Nothobranchius furzeri: one gene and its partners. The protein of the gene in region 2 interacts with the protein of the main gene of each other region in a pairwise test. Links are inferred from orthologs where the notes say so. Each region holds a gene or a part of one and is shown on either strand. Other genes may lie near its edges. The genes, in order: bnip2, bcl2b and bnip4.

Region 1 (4,827 bases), on a different chromosome or scaffold from region 2:
GCGTTTCACTTTACACCAAAGCTGATTGTTAAAAAGTCCGGATCCCTACCAGCTTCTGTTGCTGGTGGTGTTACCGGGTTCAGCTGCTGCTCTCACACCGGAATGAGAAGATCTCTGAACGCCGACGCTCATATAAATAAATAATGTAATTTTAACACACGTAATCATACATCGGAGCTTTAATATTGTTAATAATCATCTCGCTTTACACTACAGTGGACGGCGTGCATCCTCCGTGGTGAAATACCCATCCATCAGGATTATAATAACTAGTATAACACATCACATTTATCCCTGTCTCTGTCTTCCTCGTGAAATAAATGAACGTTAATCTTACCCGGTAAAAACATGTTCGCTGCAAATCTGAGGGCTGCTAGTCCGCTTGATTGGTCGCTGCAGTTAATCTCCGTCCTCAGTCTCCATCAAAGTTATTAAAAAGCAAAACAAGTTGAGTTTACATCCTTGTCTGTTAGTGCAGCCAACCACGCAGCAAGCTAAAACCATTTTACTGTCAAATCAACTAAATAAAAGCGATAAAAGGCTACAAACTGGCTTGTTTTGACTAGCTTCACTGGAGTTTCAATGGGTGTAAACGATCTTTTTGCTGTCCATCATGGTGAAGGGGGCGGTGACATGAGTGGCGTGACGTCACGTGCAAAGGGTCAATAGGACAGGACAGGTGGTCCACTCAGATCTTAGGGTTAAGGGTCACTCTTTTCAGAAAAAGAATGTTTAGATTTTAGAAAAAGAAGGTTGCTGGTTTGAGAGGCTTTGCTAAAGCACACAAAAAAACCAAACATAAGGTTTCAGCTTTCCCATTTTGATCCGATTTTAATCCTCGGACACTTTGACAGCAATCTTCTCCTTCAGACAAGTGGTCGAAGCATCTCAGATACAAGCCAGGTCAGCAGAGGTCCCAATGACAGTCAGGATGGAGAACAGGGGAGAACTTTACTTGAATGTAAATGCTCTGCACTTTGGTTTGAAATTCTCTCAGAGGTGAATCATCCTCAACAATCAAGACAACAGATGAGTTCAGGTTGTTACTTTAAACATGATGTGAATTCTGCTCGTGTTTCATTTGAAAATGCAAACACAGCACAGCTTCCAAGAGTAAAATAAAGATGGAAGAGTGTAAAATACAAAAATGATTAACGTCTTTGCTTGAGTAGATTCCAATCTACTATAAATAATGTAACTAAATACCCGTTACAGCTGTGACTTTAGCTTGCAGACCTTCAGACACGTTAGCAGCGCTCCAACGTACTTACTGTTTGATACAATCTGGTATGGACACATACTCCATTGGAACGAGCTCAGCGAGGTCCGTCAGGCTAAACACAAACTGGATTTTCTGGCTAAACTTGGAGCTGTAAAAGAAAAGCAGAAAATGATTAAACAAATATAAATAATTGTGTTTACCACCCTGAACATTTCTGATACCTTATGAAAGGTTTTGTGAGAGCCAGCAGGGTCCGAATAAACCAAGAAGGGTGCACGATTATCAACGACTTCAAGTTCTTCCGTAACCTGTGTTTGAAAGAAAAATAATGAGTAAATAATGGCTCAAAGTCTCAGGTTTTCTACTTTAGTCGAAGCTTTACTTGATTAGAAGGATGAGACGATGTCGACTCACCTCCTATCGATCTGCTGATAACACTTTCGGAGCCAGCCGACCGTCGGCATCTTCTTACGAGAAGTCGCCCCGTTTAAATAAACAATCATATAATTCTCAGCCACCAGCAGCTCCAGAGTGCCAATGACGTATCTGAAACAGGAAACCGTCGTTAGCTTCACGCGTCATCGCTAAAGCACTAAAACGAGGCTAATGGGCTCACTTGAATAAATTGTCCATGATGTATCTGTAATTAGGTTGGTTGCTCTCAGGCATGAAGCACACGGCAAACACAATTATAGCATTCAAACCATCGCCATAGTAACCTGTAGAGAAAAACGCTAACATTATGACATGTTTAGAGTTTTTTTGTTTAGTGTGTGAACTACATGAAAAGGTGCTGACCCCCGTGACTGATTACTCTCTTGTAGGGCTCAATAGCCTTCATATCCACTCTGTGGTCCTGATCTCCAAAATGGAAAATCCTCCACCGTCGACCTTCTTCCCGCTCCTCTGATGCGGATAACTCCTGGACCGTCTCCACACCTTTCTGTAGCACTTCTGTGCTTTTGGGCTTGGGAAGATCATCTGAGGAAGAAAATACATTTTAAGCAAAAAGCTAAACACCCATAGCTCTTGTAATCCAGATCCGATCGTTTTTTAATCAAATATTCGCAGTTCAATCGGGCGCACTGAACAAATGATTGGTTTTGATCTTTTGCATCTCTGCAGCATGCTTTTCCCCAGATTAAAAACCAAAATTCACAATACGGCGTTCTTTCTTTGCGATTTTTAGAGAGAAAAGGCAAAAATCCTGTCGATTCACAATGAAAATCAAAGATGTTCTTTCACAACAAACCGCTTTTGTTTGTAAACGTAGAGCTGCATAGTTTCATAAAACTGATGTCATAACATCAACTGGGGTTGTATGAACTAGTCGACTAGTCGACTTCACGGCTCTGTAGTGACTTTTTATGCCTGTCATCGACTAGTCGCTGTCACATGATAATGACCGACAAGATGCAGTCCTTGGAAAAGACAGCAGGTGACGAGCCCATGCGCGTCGGGAGGCGACGCACTGGTATCAGACACCCGCCGTAAAACGGACATTTAACTAAATTGTGACCTTTACCATCTTACAATTTAACCTTCCCCTCACCACCATCCTAATCTTAACCAGCTTGTGCATGCAAAGCTCTGATCGTTGACGCGCTCCAGACATCTGCGTCCTGAGCACAGCCACAGTAACATCAGGTGTCGCCACCTGAAAAACAAATTTAACACGCAATCGTTTATGTCGGCTCATTTCCTTTTATGTTTTCTGTCTTTTATTTGTGCCTGATGCGAACCAACCGAACCCCAACCCCCCACCCCTTGCGCCGCTTCAGGTGTATGACGTCATCAACGACTAGTCAAATTAGACTCGATTTTCATTACTTGACTGTCGACTTTAAAAAAAATTAAGTCATGCAGCCCCAACATCAACAAAGTACTTAAGTGATCAGGTACTTCAAGCATGCAACGAGAGGAATCAAAACCAAAATTGTGAAAGCAAATCACACAACATGTTCTTTAAGCTAAGATTTCCTTTTCATTTTGAAAATACGCACTCATTTTATTACTAAAGTAAAAATGCCAAGACCACACAACAGATGGTTAAAGTAAAAACATCATTTTCCAAGCAATGCTGCGCTGTTTTTTATGCCACAGCAACAGCAAAAAAGTAGATTCCAGTTTTTTTTCCTTTCATTTCATGTTTGCAATATTAAATTAATTTTAATTTTTCACAAACATCAAAACAGCTGATTTATTAAACTGGTGACAAGGTGATACCATTTCCCCATGAACAGAAAAACTCCAAACAAATAATAATTAAAAATAATAATAATAATAACATATATATATATATATATGAAAGCAAAGTTGAATTAAGAGGAAGTAAGGAATGATGGGAAAAAAGGCATTTGTCTGAAAACATGATCGGACGACAGACGCTGATTGACTTGTGTTTTCCAAAAGATCAAACAAGAAGAAAGTCTGTCCAAGAGTCCTTACCCCACGGGGGAGAGAAACCTGCTGCTGGCTTGCAGCCTGTTTCCAGGCAGACAAAGGAAGCGGTTCTTCCAAGTGAAAAAGAAGAAGGCGGCAGAGTGGAAACACAAACACAACAAAGCATATTTAACCATACATGAGGCAGCAAACTGCCAAAGTAAACCTGTAAATCATCTAGAGGTGCAAGAACCAAGTTCAACAAATAAAAATGTGAAGCAGGGCGCTTCCTCAGGACCACAAAAGAGCCCCAACTTTTAAATCTAAATTCAAACTTTCATGTATTCATCAGCCTATGAATGACTGTTTATTATGCTGCACCGTAACTGCTCACCCTTTAACTTTTATCGGATTCTTAAATCTGAATTAAATTTGTGCATCTGATATTTTAATTATGCTGTTGTGTTGATTTAGCTGTTCATGCTCCTGGAAAGTGCCTCAATGTATGAAATGTGCTATATGGATAAAGATACCTGGCCTTCTCTTCTAACTGGACTCAGAGTGGGGAACCTTCAAGTATTTAGCTCACCTAAGGAGTGATGTCTTTACATATTTTGCTTTAACAGCAGAAACTAAAACAAAGCTAGATAAAACCACAGTTCCAGGGCCAAAGCAGATGTGGTATTTGTGTTTTCCGTGATATACTTCTTACCTTCCCATTCAAACTCATTGCTGTTGTCTGACGGCGTGTCGATGGCATCCAGATCCAACTCTGTGCTTTCCTCCAGCTCATCAGAGAGGATGGAGCCATCGCTGCGGTCAAGAGTCAGGCTGATGTCTGGAGCACTGAGTTTTTTCTTTGCCTTCTTGCTGTGGTTTGTTGCAAAGCCTAAAACAGACAAAAATATGCTTAGTGGTGGTTGATTTAGTTCCCAAAAGCAGATAAATGGTGTTTTTTTTTTCTGATTTGATACTCACGGGGGTTTCTGCAGAAATAAATGCAATACTTAGAATAAGTCATAACTTACACAAGTCAGGCTGCTGAGCCCTCATCGTAGTTACAGTTGAACTTTAAAATGCAAAAGCAAGGGAAAAGCGTAGGAGCAGCAACATTTCTCTTAACCTATTACCATGTGGGATCTGACAGGGGTGAGGGACCACAGATAGGTTTTCTGCAGAAATGTACAAAGTGACTTGATTACCAGGGTCGACTTCCTCAGAAG
Region 2 (5,349 bases):
AACAATATTAACAAAATGTACATGGTATGTTGCGGGTGAACTGTGTGAGTGTGTGTGTGTGTTTCTACTGTGACTGGGCCAGCCTGCAATACACTTACAAAACTATTTGTCTCGTCATCCACAAAGTGAGTCAGAAGCCATGAGGTCATAGGCTGGGTAGAAAACTCCTCATGATTTCACTTTTCACCTGCAGCCCCGGCACCGTTTTCATCATCGGGATTGGCGGTTGTGTGCATCAGCGCACATTTTCTGGGTCCTTTGTCACAATGGTTTGAGTTCAAGTGTTTTGACGGCACTACAGAGATTAGTTTCACCTAAAAGGTAAAGGTGTTGCAGGTAACTGACAGGTTTCTGACTTTGGTGTTTAGTTTTGCATTCAGAGACCGCTGCAGGTCTTCCTTTTTGTCCATTTTTTTTATCAAGAATGTAACTTAAATGCCAAACATTCGAATCAGGACATGGGGGATATTATTTTTGATGCACTATTTGAATGCCAAAACCTTTTAAAGCTATTGTTCCACTAGTAGAAAGTGTTTATTTTCCATTTTTCTGGATGTTGCTGCTCTGTTGATTGTAGTTTTAAATAAACACTAACTTGGAGCAACATTGGGACCCATCTCAAGCCTTAAAGGGTGATAAAAGCTAATGTTAGTGTTGTAATTTAATCCATGTTAGTGATTTTTATGTAATATGCCAAGTTTCTTTGGTCAGTTTGTGTTTGTATGAAATAAAGCCTTATTTGATCTAAGATATGACGGTGAGAATTGATGATTCACGTTTGATGACGTTCTCATTTGATTTTAGTTAAAGGCATGTTTTCCCTCCACTGGGGAGTTTTCCATTTCTGTTTTTGCTTCAGAAGTTCTGTTTTTTTTCCTCTTCTACCCTGAGGTAACATCACATAGTTTAAATGACATGTAGCTCATGTTAAAAAAATGTAACACCTTTACTCTATGCAAACGGGCTGTGTTTGAAAATTCAATAACAGTTCCTTTCATTCTCCCTATAATTAACTGGTATTTGTGAGAAAGTCTGAAATTCACTCATTTCTTGTTGAACTTTTCTTTTTCTGCCAAACAAACTTAACACCTTCACCTTGTGTGCCATTGAAAGGAAATGTGAGAAGTGGAACGTTGTCTTATTTTCTTACATGATGAAATAAACGCCTGTAAAAATTTAAATATCAGGTATTGTTTTTTAATCTTCACCTCTGATCACACAGTCACGTTTCTGACCACAAGGGGGTGGATAGAGTTAATAAGAGACCATATTTTTTTATTTTTTCTTCCACGTGAAAATCAGTTAAAAGAAAGCAGCTGGTTTCTAGGAAATGGTAGTTTACCAAACGAGCTTTTAACGGCGCGGGGAAAGGCGATGCGCGCAGATTGTGTTTTGGTGGATGTGGTGCTCGCGGAGGCTGAGCGTGTGTGACGTCAGAGCGTCGGCGGAGGTGGGCAGGGAGCTTCAGTTAGAAGAGCGATCGTTGAAGAGCGCTCATTCCGACTCTGCGTGGCTCACTGTCCCACGTCCGGTTGTGTTCAGGGTGGGTCGTGTTGCTGGCGCGCCCCCAGAGCCCCTTCAGGGACGCGCAACTTTTTTTTTTTCCTATTTCCTCTTTCATTCATTTATCCGCAGCACATCCGCGTCTGGCTGCTGCTGCTCACAGGAAAAGACTCCGATCTCTTCCGCATAGACTGGATTTCTACCCAGAGAGAAGGTCACCAGAGTCCCCTCCAAAGACCCGGGAAATGAAGCCTCCTGCTGGAGCGGAACCAGGATTTCTCAGACTAGAACTGCTTTATGCCTGATTTGGTCCCAGAGGCTTTCCAGAAGTCCCCCCACCACCTCTATTTCACTGATCAGCCCAGGACGCGTCTGTGCCGTGCGCGTCTCCAGCGCGCAGTTTTAATCATAATGCACCGTATTTAGAGCGACCTGGGATCAGATTAGATGCCACATTAAGCGGGGATGGCGAACGAGTGGAATCGCAATATCGTGGAAAACTATATCTGCCATAAACTCTCAAAGAGGGGGTTCGCGTGGGGCTTCGATGACGGTGCTGTCGCCAATAACGGCTCAGTGGGTGACCGCTCTCCGACTGTGGTCCGCAGGTGCAGAGAGGCTGGATCACCGGGCCCCGATGTGGACTGCAGACGGATCTCCCAGCAGCCCGAGCCGCTCGCGGACATCCACAGGGTCATGCGGGAGGCTGGAGACGAGCTGGAGAGACTCTACCAGTTGGACTTTACGGAGATGTCACGGCAGCTGTACCTCACCAACGCCACGGCCAAGACCCGGTTCGCCGAGGTGATAGATGAACTGTTCCGGGACGGGGTGAACTGGGGCCGGATTATCGCTTTCTTCGAGTTCGGGGGCACAGTGTGCGTGGAGTGCGCGTCCAGAGAGGAGATGGCAACGCAGGTCGACACCATAGCAGAGTGGATGACGGAATATTTAAACGGTCCTCTTCTTAACAGCTGGATAGAAGATAACGGGGGATGGGTAGGTCTGGTTCCGTCTGGTTCAGGAGAGTGGGGGCGCATGAGCTCACCCTTTGATATCGTGCTTATGTGCGCGCCTGGGCGTCTGGTTGAGGTCTAAATGAGCATTCTGACGAACCTCCGGTTCATATCGAAAGTACACGTGAGGTCGACCATTAATTAAAAAAAATTTGCTGTGGGGGTGTGACGCACGTCAACGCAAACGTTGATAGAGAGGAGCCTTCATGTGTTAGCTGCTCTGATTGGTTGATTGAGTTGACTCTCAACATTGTTTTGACCAATCACGTGAAGGCTCTCTGTCACACCTCCCTACGTACGCAGCTATCTGTGTTCCGCCATGAAAACACATAGGACCAGATGGTTGAGGGAAACTTTTAGAAGTTTGAAAAATAAGAGTAAATTCTGATGTTTATGTTTTAATTTAGTTGTATTCAAAGTGTTCTACAGAGAATGATTTCAATGTGACGAAATGCGCTAGGTGATGATTCCTGCAGGATGGAGGGCGCCAGACTGAGATCTGCAGGCTTAATGTGCTAAAACCTCTGGGCATAGCGGGCTCAGCTGTCAGAGCGCTTTATTGTGTGTGTGTGTGTGTGTGTGTGTGTGTGTGTGTGTGTGTGTGTGTGTGTGTGTGTGTGTGTGTGTGTGTGTGTGTTATTAAAACACACGTGAATCATACACCTGTACAATCCAATTAATATTTATATTTTAATATCAAAACAAGTAAGCTATTAGTTTTTTGGGGTCACATGCTGTATGCTCTTATTTTGTCATACCTTCCAAATGATGCACACTTCCTGACTTCTCAAAGGCCGAACATGCAGTTTGCATAGGTGGTGTTTCAAAAAGTCGTGCAGAATAATACATTTTAAAACAAATTAATTAATGATGATGATGATGATAGTAATAATAACAGCCCTGACCTGCCATTACTGATATTTAATATAATTTTTCAAAATTATGATTAAATTAAAAATATTTTGTAAGTGAAAACGTCCATATAGAAGATTTGTACTGCCAGTGTGAATAAGCAATGGTGAGTTCAAGGACTAGGGGAAAATGTCTGCTTTTTCAACTGCTGTTTGGTCATGGTGCATTCATGGGCCTGGATAAAAGAGGAAATCACTTGTTTGAGTGTCAGACAAGCTGTTCATGCCAATTTTCATCCAATGTCAATGACCAGATGGTTGTTGTGGTTCATCTCAGATTTCTATGTGCACAGACTTCCTATCTTGGACAACCAGGATTAGGCACTCTTCTCTGATTTTATAGCAGCTCCATCTGTCTGTGAACTCTTAATTTGCTTCATATTTCATGTAGAAGATTAGTTTTGTGTAGGTGGAGTTTGGGTTGAGTGGCGGATGAGTTGGCATTGTTGGCTCAAATTCCACCTGCACAACTTGTGTGGGTTATTTCTAAATACCCCAGAATCCTCCAACAGTAAAAGAACACAAGTGTTATGTTGCTTGGAGTCTCTAAATTTGTCCCTAGGTGTGAGTGAGTGTTTGTCTCTGTGTGGACTGGTCCAGGGTGTCCCTCACCTCTGGACATAGGTACCAGCTCCTGTGACCCTATTAGGATTGAGCTTTCATATCATAAATAAGCTTTGGCTGCACAATATATCGCAAATATGTCGTTATCGCGATATCAGCATGTGCAATATGCATATTGCAAAGAACAGATAAATATTGCAATGAATGGTCAGCTCAAATGTTTGCTACACGTAATGCATTCTGTCAATAAAATGGAAGCATGACATTTTTTTAACAAATCAAAGAGCTCTTCACCCACTTGGCCAATTGGGTGGGTTCTCATAGGTTAGATGCCCGCCCCCCGATGTGGACGGCACTTAATTTTGATGGTTAGCAAACACCTTAGTTAGCTTTGTTCTGCACTTTCTGCTGATTCTGCTTTTCCCGGGATCCATTGATTGCCTTTTCTTGTTCATTTTCTTTTTCCCTTTCCTCACATCTTTTGCTTTTCTATTTTTAGGAATTTTTTGTAATTTTTTTAGTTTTTTTTTTTTGTTTTTGATTATTTTTGTTCCTGAGTTAAGTTTTTATTTATCGTAAGTAATATCGTCATCGCAATATTAATCATTGTTATCGCATATTGCAGGTTTTCCCATATCGTGCAGCCCTACTTTTTAGTTTTGTTCGCAAAAAGTTTTATTCACCACTAAACATCAGGTTTCTGCCACCCGATGATTCAAGCACAATTAGTTCTGAGAGAACCGGAGAAAATGAAGCTGCTGCACATCCTCGACTGAACTCTAAATTAGTGAAGAACACAACATTTATGGTGCATCTTAGCTGGAAGCTATTATACATAATATGATGTGTTTGCAAATGAAAGGAAGAGACATCAATGATTCATATTGAATGTTTCATCTTAGTGGATAGGACCATTTAACATTCCCCTTGAGTGTGTCTGCCCCCCCTGTAGTGGCAGGTTGTGCCACATACCACTAGTCTGCAGGCTCTGTGTTTAACATACAGTTTTCTGTTGTACAATGAGGTTGGACCTCTATTGTCCTTTTTTTATTCTTTCCAGACTTGTTTCTTGTTGCGTATTGCAGACTGGGCTGCAAAGATGCCTGCATCAAATCCCCGGAGCCTGTACCTCACTGTACAGTAATGTAGGTCATCGTAGTCTGTGTTTTACAGCTGAGTGGAGATGACTGGATCCACTGCAGTGAGGAACAGAGTATCCTCTAATCCAGGGGAATGTTTAGGGATCATATGAAGGCTTATGTTTGCCGTTTGGGTCAGTTGTGACAGATTTATCCTGATGGGGGAAAAAGGGCTTATTTTCAGATCAAGTTTCCACACAGATCAATGCTGATAGT
Region 3 (4,827 bases), on a different chromosome or scaffold from region 2:
TTATGATAAAGATTAACTTTTGGTTAGTTACTGGTTTACCAAATCATAATCTACTTTAGAGCTGTTTTTTTACGTCGCTTTTCTTTTTAAGTCAGGTGTCATTTCACTAAAACTATTATCCAGTTGCAGTCTCTGCTTGATCATGGGCTGACACTAGAGTTTCTTTTTTTCATATTTATTTATTTAAAATGTACACATTGTTCTGATCGACCCATAAAACAAGCGGCCTGAATAATATTTGGGTTGGGTCAGTCACGCTTTGGTCCTGCTTGTGTTTGGCAAAAAAAAAAAGTCAGCTGCAATGCAACAATTTGTTCCCGAACCTCAGGTTCATTCATTTGGAAAGATGTGCAAGTTTGCAGCTCGTTGTCTCCTTCGCTGACACAGAGCTGGTCCAATCATTGCATGAGACACCTGCTCCCTGTCAAAGGGACCATTTAGCTGTGTGTGGAGCTAGCTTAGCTATTAGGTAAGCTAATATGATCTTTTTGGATCTTCTGAGATGGAGAGAAAATGCAAAGGAGGAGCAGAGAAACTACGCAAATATATAAATAAACTTGCTTTTTAAAGAGCAAGTCACCCCCAAATCAACTATTTTTTTCTGATAAACCATATAAATGCATGTCTAATCGTGTTGCAAACACGTGTATTCAATAGTTTAGCACTTTAGTGCATTTTAGTTAAAATTTAAATTTTCTGCCTGAAACTGTCAGTGTTGTGCCGTTGTCAGGTAAAAACTCTTTACTGCATTTGAATTTAAATCTGCCACTGCTATTGGCTAAGAGGTATGCTATGATGTAAACTGGTACATTATGATGTCACAATGTCGTGAGTGTGTGTATTTGTTAGTGGCTCCACCCTCTCGGTATGCTAGGCAACAGCATTTGTTGCATTTTTCAAACATGAAGTGGGAGTGAAGTATGCTTCTTGTAAGAGGTGACTTGCTCTTTAAAGAGCAAGTCACCCCCAAATCAACTATTTTTTTCTGATAAACTATATAAATGTGTGTCTAATCATGCTGCAGACACGTGTAATCAATAGTTTTGCACTTTAGTGCATTTTAGTTACAATTTAAATTTTCTGCCTGAAACTGTCAGTGTTGTGCCGTTGTCAAGTAAAAACTCTGCACTGGATTTGAATTTAAATCTGCCACCGCTATTGGCTAAGAGGTATGCTATGATGTAAACTGGTACATTATGATGTCACAATGTCGTGAGTGTGTGTATTTGTTAGTGGCTCCACCCTCTCGGTCTGCTAGGCAACAGCATTTGTTGCATTTTTCAAACATGAAGTGGGAGTGAAGTACGCTTCTTGTAAGAGGTGACTTGCTCTTTAAGCAAATGCTGATATATGCACCAAACATGACACAGTAACTCACTGGGTGGGAAGAGCAGAGAGGAGGAGGGTTTTCAATCCAACGTCTGTTACATTTTAAAGAGGTTTTAACAACACGCTTCTGATGTTTATAGTTTAATAACGTAGCCTGTTTAATTGGTAGATTTTATTTTGAAATCCACTCACCTTTATTTAAATCGGTTTAAGCACAGTTTAAAAATGTAAACATAGTTTAACTAAACTGTGATTAATTTTAAGTATGCAAACAGCCCTGCTTAATTTTAAACTTGATTTAAGTTATTTTAAATCTACTTTTACTAATCACTGATGAGTGATAATCTTAGTTTAAATTAAACCTTGTTGGTGCAATCCACCCTTAGTATCTTAAATAAAAATCTTTAGTTGTTTTTTTTTTTACTTGGGTGGACTGTTCTCAGGTCGACTGGACCAGTCCCAGATCCAGTCAGCATTTTTCTTCATTAGGTTTTCGACTTCCCATCTTCTCTCTTGGAAGTCTTCATCAGACTGAAAAAGAAAAAAATGGAGGAAGATCAAGGGCTGTCAGCACCAAAGCTTGGCTTCCAATGATAATTTGAATGTTTGAATGCTGAGAGACATCAACAAAGAATTGTCAAAAACTATACGTAGTCGTATTCGTCGTCGTCATCGTCTTCCTCCGCTTATCCGGGTCTGGGGGCAGCATCCCAACTACGGAGCTCCACCCCGTCCTGTCCCCGGCCACCTCCACCAGCTCCTCCGACAGGACCCCAAGGCGTTCCCGGACCAGATTGGAGATGTAACCTCTCCAACGTGTCCTGGGTTGACCCGGGGACCTTCTGCTGGCAGGACATGCCCGAAACACCTCCCCAGGGAGGCGTCCAGGAGGCATCCTGACCAGATGTCCAAACCACCTCAACTGACTCCTTTCGATCCGGAGGAGCAGCGGTTCTACTCCGAGTCCCTCCCAAATGTCTGAGCTCCTCACCCTATCTCTAAGGCTGAGCCCGGCCACCCTACGGAGGAAACTCATTTCAGCCGCTTGTATCCGCAATCTTGTTCTTTCGGTCATTACCCAAAGCTCATGACCATAGGTGAGGATTGGGACGTAGATCGACCGGTAAATCGAGAGCCTGGCTTTCGGGCTCAGCTCCCTCTTCACCATGAGAGATCGACTCAGCGTCCGCATCACTGCAGACGCTGAACCAATCCGTCTGTCGATCTCCCGATCCCTCCTACCCTCACTCGTGAACAAGACCCCGAGATACTTAAGCTCCTCCACTTGAGGTAGGACCTCTCCCCTGACCCGGAGTTGGCAAGCCACCCTTTTCCGGTCGAGAACCATGGTCTCAGATTTGGAGGTGCTGATCCTCATCCCAGCCGCTTCACACTCGGCCGCGAACCTACCCAGCAGGAGCTGAAGGTCAGAGCTGGATGAAGCTAGGAAGACCACATCATCCACAAAAAGCAGAGACGAGATTCTCCTGCCACCAAACTCGACACACTCCACACCACAGGTGCGCCTAGAAATTCTGTCCATAAAGATAATGAACAGAACCGGTGACAAAGGGCAGCCCTGGCGGAGTCCAACCCTCACCGGGAACAAGTCCGACTTACTACCGGCAATGCGGACCAAACTCAAGCTCCTCTGGTAAAGGGACTGAATGGCCCTTAACAGAAAGCCACCCACCCCATACTCCTGGAGCGTCCCCCACAGGGCGCCCCTGGGGACACGGTCATAAGCCTTCTCCAAATCCACAAAACACATGTGGATTGGTTGGGCAAACTCCCATGCCCCCTCCATCACCCTTGCAAGGGTATAGAGCTGGTCCACAGTTCCACAGCCAGGACGAAAACCACATTACTCCTCCTCAATCTGAGATTCAACCATCGATCGGACCCTCCTCTCCAGTACCTTGGAGTAGACCTTTCCAGGGAGGCTGAGGAGTGTGATCCCCCTATAGTTGGAACACACCCTCAGGTCACCCTTCTAAAAGATGGGGACCACCACCCCGGTCTGCCACTCCACAGGAACTGCCCCCGATGACCACTCAATGTTGCGGAGACGTGTCAACCATGACAGCCCTACAACATCCATAGCCTCGAGATACCCAGGATGAATCTCATCCGCCCCCAGGGCTCCGCCGCTGTGTAGTTGTTTGATTACCTCAGCAACTTCTGCCCCCAAGATTGGACAGTCCATCCCCAGGTCTCCCGGCTCTGGTTCCTCCTCGGAATGCGAGTAGGTGGGATTGAGGAGCTCCTCAAAGTCTTCCTTACACCGAGCGACTATAGCCCCAGTTGACGTTAGCAGCTCCCCATCCCCACTGTAAACAGTGTGAGCGAGTTGCTGCCTTCCTCTCCTGAGGCGCCGGACAGTTTGCCAGAACCTCTTTGGAGCCGATCGATAGTCTTTCTCCATGGCCTCACCAAATTCCTCCCACACCCGAGATTTTGCCTCGGCAACTACTACTGCTGCACCCTGCTTGACACTCTGGTACCTGTCAGCTGCCTCCGGAGACCCACAGACCAGCCACGCCCAGTAGGCCTCCTTCTTCAGCCTGACGGCTCCCCGAACCTCTGGTGTCCACCAGCGGGTACGGGGGTTGCCACCACGACTGGCACCGGCCACCTAGCGACCACAGCTAGCAACAGCCGCCTCAACAATCGCAGAGTGGAACAAGGCCCACTCGGGGTCAATGTCCCCCACTGCGGTCAAAGCTCTGTCGGAGGTGGGAGTTGAAGACCGTCTTGACAGGTTCTTCTGCCAGGCGTTCCCAGCAGACCCTCACTATGCGTATGGGTCTGCCAGGTCTACGCTGCATCTTCCCCTGACATCTGATCCAACTCACCACCAGGTGGTGATCAGTTGACAGCTCCAGTCCTCTCCTCTCTTCACTCGGGTGTCCAAAACATACGGCCGCAGGTCAGATGATACAACTACAAAGTCTGTCATCGACCTGCGACCTAGGCTGCCCTGGTACCAAGTGTAACGAATGGGCATCCTTATGTTCGAACATGGTGTTTGTTATGGCCAAACTGCGGCTTGCACAGAAGTCCAATAACGAAACACCACTCGAGCTCAGATTAGGCGGGCCGTTCCTCCCAATCACACCACTCCAGGTCATGCTGTCATTGCCCACGTGAGCATTGAAGTCCCCCAGCAGGACAATGGAGTCCCCTGATGGAGCACTATCTAGCACTCGACCCCGGGACTCCAAAAAGGGTGGGTACTCTGAGCTGATATTTGACCCATAAGCACAAACAACAGTCAGGACCCGTTCCCCGACCCGAAGGCGTAGGGAAGCTACCCGGGGTAAACCCCAACACACAGGCAAAGAGTCTTGGGGCTAACAAAAAGCCAACACCAGCCCTCCGCCTCTCACCCAGAGTAACTCCAGCAAAGGAGAGTGTCCAACCCCTCTCAAGGACTTGGGTTCCAGAGCCAATGCTATGTGTCAAGGTGAGTCCGACTATATCTAGCCGGTACCGCTC

What was found.
Region 1: the proteins of bcl2b (region 2) and bnip2 interact in a two-hybrid assay, tested with the Homo sapiens proteins (3 studies listed by BioGRID and IntAct). The link is inferred for Nothobranchius furzeri from reciprocal best matches to the Homo sapiens genes BCL2 and BNIP2.
Region 3: the proteins of bcl2b (region 2) and bnip4 interact in a two-hybrid assay, tested with the Homo sapiens proteins (2 studies listed by BioGRID and IntAct). The link is inferred for Nothobranchius furzeri from reciprocal best matches to the Homo sapiens genes BCL2 and BNIP3.

What each region holds. Positions count from the first base shown.
Region 1 is NC_091744.1:67,576,959-67,581,785, forward strand, and holds part of bnip2 (BCL2/adenovirus E1B 19 kDa protein-interacting protein 2), read right to left. Parts: coding exon 4,807-4,827; intron 4,494-4,806; coding exon 4,317-4,493; intron 2,204-4,316; coding exon 2,021-2,203; intron 1,942-2,020; coding exon 1,839-1,941; intron 1,769-1,838; coding exon 1,637-1,768; intron 1,531-1,636; coding exon 1,444-1,530; intron 1,371-1,443; coding exon 1,272-1,370; intron 1-1,271.
Region 2 is NC_091751.1:52,804,193-52,809,541, forward strand, and holds the start of bcl2b (apoptosis regulator Bcl-2), read left to right. Parts: upstream 1-1,737; 5' UTR 1,738-1,968; coding exon 1,969-2,502; intron 2,503-5,349. UniProt on the Homo sapiens protein: Suppresses apoptosis in a variety of cell systems including factor-dependent lymphohematopoietic and neural cells. Regulates cell death by controlling the mitochondrial membrane permeability. Appears to function in a feedback loop system with caspases.
Region 3 is NC_091752.1:32,879,317-32,884,143, forward strand, and holds part of bnip4 (BCL2 interacting protein 4), read right to left. Parts: intron 1,861-4,827; coding exon 1,754-1,860; intron 1-1,753. UniProt on the Homo sapiens protein: Apoptosis-inducing protein that can overcome BCL2 suppression. May play a role in repartitioning calcium between the two major intracellular calcium stores in association with BCL2.